2 linked regions of the Arabidopsis thaliana genome follow. The protein of the gene in region 2 interacts with the protein of the main gene of each other region in a pairwise test. Each region holds a gene or a part of one and is shown on either strand. Other genes may lie near its edges.

Evidence for each region.
Region 1: the proteins of HSFB3 (region 2) and TCP9 interact in binary tests that used the Arabidopsis thaliana proteins (3 or more experiments, as listed by UniProt).

What each region holds. Positions count from the first base shown.
Region 1 is NC_003071.7:18,819,876-18,823,633, forward strand, and holds TCP9 (TCP family transcription factor), read right to left. Parts: upstream 2,015-3,758; 5' UTR 1,913-2,014; coding exon 842-1,912; 3' UTR 367-841; downstream 1-366. Other genes in the region: SSE1 (shrunken seed protein (SSE1)), read right to left, coding at 3,590-3,651, 3,752-3,758.
Region 2 is NC_003071.7:17,379,599-17,383,356, forward strand, and holds HSFB3 (heat shock transcription factor B3), read left to right. Parts: upstream 1-2,048; 5' UTR 2,049-2,124; coding exon 2,125-2,421; intron 2,422-2,541; coding exon 2,542-2,979; 3' UTR 2,980-3,253; downstream 3,254-3,758. Other genes in the region: ABCA1 (ATP-binding cassette A1), read right to left, coding at 3,641-3,722. UniProt on the Arabidopsis thaliana protein: Transcriptional regulator that specifically binds DNA sequence 5'-AGAAnnTTCT-3' known as heat shock promoter elements (HSE).

The DNA.
Region 1 (3,758 bases), 1.4 Mb from region 2:
TCCTGTCTGGCGTTGAGACCGTAGACAAGAAGAAAATATCTACTACTACTAGTACTAATTAAACAACGAACGAAATAGAATCAACGGTTAGGACAAGACGATGGAATTGAACGGTAAAGATTAGATAGACACAAGTATGACCCACGCCAGGCTGTTCCTTTATTTCCTTAGCGTTAAACTGGTGGTGCTGACCCAACTAGGCGTCCCTTGAGTGGGAAGCTTTCAGGCCCCACGAAACAACGCCGTATTAGTGGTACAATCAAGCTTACTAGGCCCCGCCAATAACACGGACGAGACTTTTTTCGCAAAAAGCTTTTGTAACACTTGTAAGAAAATGGAATCATTTGAAAAGTAATGCTACAACAATTTTAGGAAAACAACATTAGTATTTTCATTTTAGATAGAAATATTTATTTTGTTACAGATTTTAATAAAATCAAAACATCAATATCACAATTGTTGTTGAGTGGACCATGACTTAGAGAGGGCTTCAATAAATCTTATTTTGTAAAATTACAAAGACCAAAAAAGTCAAGACAAAGTGGTGAGCCCCCACCAAAAAAACGAAACGTTTCGAATTATGCTTAAGCTTAAGCTGGTCCTACTCATACGGACCACGTAGCTCTAACCATTTGGGGACCACACCCAACCTGGCTGCCTCGGAAGCTATGCGTAAGGTGGGAGCCGTGTGGCCCCTCTCCTCCTCCCTCCACTCTCTTTTTGGTGCGTGTTGACCCACTTCTGCCTAAAATCGAGGCCCACTTCTTAACACGTGCACTTCTTCATGTGCACACGTGCTTTTTTTCCGATCACTAATACGCCGCCGTTTCCTTTCTTTTCTTCAGTGGTTCGATGACCGTGCTGTTGTGGTGCTCATGAACTGGTGAAGCTCTTGTTTCTCGTATATCTCTAGGGAGAAGTCTCTCAGCGTGTGCGTCGTTGTTGTTGCAATTGACGATGAACTACCGGTTGTTACGCCTGAGCTTGAGCTCGGAGCCATAACCGACGTCGCTCTTGATAAATTCGAACCGCTAACGTCTGAAACGGATACAAAGCCGCTGCTTGGAACAACTTGTAAAGGAGGTGGTCTAGCCATCGTGGAAGCCTGTTGAACAGCGGCGACGTAAGACGACGGCGAAGCAGCGGCGGCGGGAAAAGCTAATAACTGAGGCTGATTCGACGGACCAGCGATTTGTGGAATCAAGAAGAAAGCTCCGACCGTCGGAATCATTGCGTTTGATGGAATAGCCCACATCGGATACATTCCTTGCGGCAGAAGTTGCTGAGCCACAGTGGATGATGCCAGAGCTTGCGGAGGTTGGATCGTTGTCGTCGTGGCAATTGGAGCTAAACCGGAGGAAGCTGAAACGGCGTCGCTTATGTCTATATACTCACTGTTAGAAGGTCGTTTACGTTTCTTCTTCATCAGATTTTCACCCATATCAGAATCAGCGTTCGTCGTCGTCGGGATTTTTAAGGTTCCGTTAACCGACATGGCGATGGCGGGAACCGTTCCCGTACCCGTGGCGGCTATAATCGCCGGCTCAGCGTTCTCCAACAACCACCGAATCGTTTCGCCGTCGGATTTGTGACCTAACTCTCGAGTTAATTGAAAAATCCTAGCCGCACACGTGGCAGGCATCCGTATCCTTCTCCCTCTTCCTTCAACCTTCGTGTGACGGTCTTTAGTCGAAGCTCTCTTCAATGGTGGTCCTGTCGAAGACGGTGGAGCTAAAGACATTGAAAACGACGGCATCACCGGCTCCGCCTTGGGCTCGAGACTCACTGTGGGATTTACTTGGAAAGGTCTTGAAGTTTCGACGTTTCTGACGCCGTTGATGATGGTTAGATCAACGGCTCTTAGAGTTTGATCTTTGCCTGCAACTTCTTCAAGCTTCTGAATTGTCGCCATTAAAATATAGCTGAGAGAAAACGGACGGTGGAGATGACGACGAGAGTTGTTAAAAGCGGATACAATGGGAAAGAATCGTTTTAACGGCGTTACACGTCCAAGGAGATTACTAAATGTGACTCGTCAGGATATATATATAGGAGCAGGAAAACAAGTGAGAATAGTATTCAACGCTTTTTGATGCGGGAAAAATCAACGGTCCTGATGTGTTCGATGAGCTTTAAAGAACCATTCCGATTGTACCACGTGAACAAATCACTTTCCATTGCTCTATCTTCTATCAGTATTATTATGGGACCATCTGTACAATGGGGTCCAGTAAACTTTATTTCTCTTTTCACAAAATGTTTTTCTTTTATTGTTTAGTAATATACTTGTTTTTTAACCTAAGAAAAGCTTCAAAATCCAAAATCAGAAACTCATTCTGGTTAGTACTTACTAGTTACTAGTACACTCCCAAATGAAATACCTAGCTTTGTACAAAAATTTCCATCGCTGATCAAATTTAACTTTTCTATGGTTGGAAAGATTTTCAATAATTTTTATTGGTTAGGCAAAAAAAGATTTACTTTAATTTTATGGAAAAAGCTGTAAGCCCATACTTGGGGTTGGACCCCATTAATGTAGGTCACAAGGCTGCGCCACCAAAAAGCTAATTAGTGTCTATGGAATAATCCTCTTTCCAGGATTCCAAAATCCTCCTATCGTCCGTCCTTTGATTAAACCGGTCACATACATATACGCATACTTATGTACTTGTGTACTTGTACAATCCGGATATTAAACATACAAACCGAACTAGAAATCAGATCAAAGTAATCGAAATGATTGTAAGTTCGACGGTAACTAGATGTAACCGATTCAAACTTATTTTGATTCGTTGGTACTTGTTTCGGGTTTGAACCACTAGCTATGCTACTTGTACATACGACCGACCAGAAAGAGGGACCGTAAGCACCAGAAAAGAAAGGCTACAAAACGAAAATGTGAATGTGGGCCTGAGCTGGACCCTACTCTCTTCAGTTCCACACATTGTTGAGGGCTAGGCCCAACTATTCGACCCCACCATTCCCTACCCACTCAAAAATCAAAATATTGGCGATAACGTGGCCTTGAGATTAACAAACAAACGGATCCGGGATTAGAATTAAACACCAAATTATAAACCGGTCAAACCGGTAGTAACCTTTTAGGCTTAAAAGTTAAACCAAGTGGGTTCCACCTTTTCCGATTACAGATTCGGGTCCACCACAGAGGGATAATGTTGTAATTTTCGCAGCCACCAACTTTTGCCTACCATCAGCATACCATTCATTACGCCAGCATCAATAATTTGGGCTGATTGGTAAATTTGAGGTTTTGGATTCCGATGTTTTTACTTTTCACTAACCACACAATTTCACATAAATAAGTGTAGTATTTCTTACAAACCATTTAATCTTTAATGATGCTTGTTTTATTCGTATCGGTCCATTTCTTTAGACATAGAGAAGCTTATCTCTTCAGATACATCTGTCTATGGTTATGTTCTCTACCTGTTGCAATAAACACAATTTCTAACAAAAGCCTGAAACCATTCCCTAAGAAATCTGTAGGAGCCTTTGATGATCTGAAAAAGCATTCCAACAATGGCAATATTCTTCCGTTGCATATAAACCATAAGTAAAACGCTTAACCTCACGATCCCGATATGTAAGTGTACCGTGACTGAGCTCCCTCCAAAAGCTCCACAATTTTCTCTGCAATTTCCATGAGAGAACCAAAATAAGGTCAGTAGATGGCAAGTAGACAAGACAATCAGTGATCTCGTGAATGAAATGAAAGCTTTAAAAAGTAAACCTGTGAG
Region 2 (3,758 bases):
CCAAAAAAGAGCAGCCCAATGAAAGCAAGGATCTTTATCTTTAGTCTAGTGTCTGAATTCCATGCACTTCCAATGTTTTAGTCAACAAAATGTACTTACATTTGATGACTTGATGTTGTATAGATTCGTTAGGAAGCCACATCACTAAACGTTAAGCATAACTTTATGGTTAAAAAAAAACCCCCCCACCGTGTTCTTACTTGTCATCCAAATTCGATCTGCCATTTGAAGTTTCCTAAGCTGTTCTTGATGACTATTCTTAAATTCGATGTTTATATCTTACCATCTAAATTAAGCCTTACAAGAGCTACATATCCAAGTAGTATATGCTGGAGTAGTTTTGTGATCCCTTAATCTTATTGTTCAACAAATAATTTCAACAGGACATATATATGGATCACTACTGTTAAAACGATATAGTAGAGCTTAAGCGTTAGGATTTGTATTATTAGTTGTCTCTCTCTTTTACAGACGCGTGGAAGGTACGCGCCGTCATAGGAACATTGTCGGTAATCCCCTTCAAACACCAGTAGTCAGTAGATCGATGACTTGAATTACATCACTGTCCCCTACTTTGACCAATAGAGATCTAAAGGTTTCCTTTCTTGCATTATTGTGCTAAAACCGACATTTACTTAAGTTACTTGATTATGTCTTGGAAAAAAAAAAAGATTTTAACTTTGGGAACTTTTATTCAACTGAAATTTTAAAGAATTATTTAATTTGGAATTCCTTCTATAAATTTACTGGCTTTTACCGTTATACGTTACCATAAACTTATATATATGATCAAATTCGACCGTGATGAATGATCACTTTTTTAACTTTCCATTCAGATCAACTGAACCCCCTTACTTTTTCTATATATACTCTTTTAAGCACTTGTTTATATATTATCAACAAATTAAGGTGTCGAAAGTAACATACAATTAGACAAAGCATGTATAGTCAAAAAGATAGATAGTCATCAATTTTGAAAAACGAGCAATTTACATGATCCTACAAAACAACAAAACTAACTATATGAAATATCAAGTTTATAATCATTTTTAAAAATACCATTACAAAAGATTTGTACTTTGAATATAATTTAACATGAAATTTAGAAAACGATCTGTTTAAGAATATAACTTCTGCTATGTGGTATTTTAACTGGTACTTTATAGAGAAAAAAAGATTGGTAATTAATGTGATATTTTTGCAATCCATATTATATATTCGAGAGATTTTACTAATGATAGTACTTGATTAATCATTAGAGAAAACTAAATCTTACAAATATAGGTAGACATGATGAATAATATGCATGATTTGCGTTTCGTAAATTGATAGTACCACCTCACCTAAAGGGGGTCCAAACGAGTTGCTTCATATCACAATATCCAATTTTACCAACATACATTAATATATGTGTATTCACATATATACCTCGTGATTAATATTTTTTTTAAAATCATTTTTCGTTTGTTTCCTATACGTCTAATCAAACACACACGTTACAACTAAAATTATATTGACAATATAGCTCGGTTGGTAAAAGCAACGACTACTGCAGTTTCCCTGAAAAACTTAAGACCAGTACTAAATATCAACTATACAAATTAAGTTGATATCAGTTTTTTTGGGGGTAAAGTAATCCAATATCATTCTAAAATTAAAAGCAAAATGTCGTTAGTTATACATGTTAGAGACGAGCGTTGTGTTTGAGAAAAAAAAGAGTTATGTCGTATAGTGGATTCGACGTAAATATTATCGATGGTTGGTTTCAAACCTGAAAAATTACATGTCATATTGTCATCAAACATCGATTTTCATTTGATATAAGAAAAATATATTTACAAACACAATCGTGTGTGTGTGTATGCATCATGATTATATGCATGTTAGTGTTAGAGTTACATATTCTATAGAATATGTAAATAGTTAGAAGCGTACGTTCCTTGAAAATTGTTCAAAGTATTTCTATTATTGTTTTCTTTTGTTAAAGTATTTCTATTATTGTCTCAACCACCTAATTAAATTAAATAACGTCTCTATCTCTTTCTATGGAGTCGTGTTACGTCTTTCTAGTTTGAGATCTTCTACTACTTGTTTTCTTCAAGAATAATAATTTTCGTTTTATATATGGAAGATGCTGGTGAACATTTACGGTGTAACGATAACGTTAACGACGAGGAGCGTTTGCCATTGGAGTTTATGATCGGAAACTCAACATCCACGGCGGAGCTACAGCCGCCTCCACCGTTCTTGGTAAAGACATACAAAGTGGTGGAGGATCCGACGACGGACGGGGTTATATCTTGGAACGAATACGGAACTGGTTTCGTCGTGTGGCAGCCGGCAGAATTCGCTAGAGATCTGTTACCAACACTTTTCAAGCATTGCAACTTCTCTAGCTTCGTTCGCCAGCTCAATACTTACGTACGTATATATGCTTCACTGTTTCAATCAGTATTTTAAACTATTTGTGTTTCTTTGAGTTTACTAAGTGTATTTGCTTAATTAAAGGCATTAATGAGTGTTGTTACAAAAATATTATAGGGTTTTCGAAAAGTAACGACGATAAGATGGGAATTTAGTAATGAGATGTTTCGAAAGGGGCAAAGAGAGCTTATGAGCAATATCCGAAGAAGGAAGAGCCAACATTGGTCACACAACAAGTCTAATCACCAGGTTGTACCAACAACAACGATGGTGAATCAAGAAGGTCATCAACGGATTGGGATTGATCATCACCATGAGGATCAACAGTCTTCCGCCACTTCATCCTCTTTCGTATACACTGCATTACTCGACGAAAACAAATGCTTGAAGAATGAAAACGAGTTATTAAGCTGCGAACTTGGGAAAACCAAGAAGAAATGCAAGCAGCTTATGGAGTTGGTGGAGAGATACAGAGGAGAAGACGAAGATGCAACTGATGAAAGTGATGATGAAGAAGATGAAGGGCTTAAGTTGTTCGGAGTAAAACTTGAATGAAACTAGATTGCTAGATTGATATTCGTAATATACCAGTTTCTTCATATTCTTAGAAGTTTTGCATAACTATATATAGTACTCTTTTAAGACATGCAAGATCAGAACATATGTCCGAGAAATATCGGATTCTTTGCTGTATTGGTTAAGTCTCGTGTTCATAACATGGTACATCGTGTGTATATATATAGCCATTAACTAAGAGAACGTTTTCTCATGTATTTGCGAAATTTAAAACTATTTTGGGTAGATGAGATGAGTTACATCTCACTTTGGGCTGTGGTCAGGATGATTTTGGTTATGTAAGCCGCGTTAATAATGGTATCACTAGCTGCAAAATGGTTGAATTTTGGTAAATCTCAACTCTCAACTTTCAACTCTCAAAGCAGGCCTAGAACTAGAAGTAAAAGATTGGCATTCTCTTATTTCGAATTTAGGCCAGAACATACGGCACATTAGGGTTTTTTCCAGATTTTTAGTTGATGGAAGATAAAATATGAGGCATCATGTATATAGACATTAAGACCACAGGTTTCTCATGTATATGTCATATTTACAACTATGTTGAGTACGCAGATGAGATTATAATAAGTGATCAGATCTCTCTTTGGGCTATGGTCACAAAGGGTTTTTGTTGTACAAGCCGCAATAATGGTTTCACTGGCTATGAGTTAGCTGCAAAATGATTGAATATGGTCTCAAGTGTGGATTGACTTATACTGTATTCAGCTATTCCCAGCCGATTCCTGCCATAGAATGAAGCAAATTTCTTTCCTCAGACT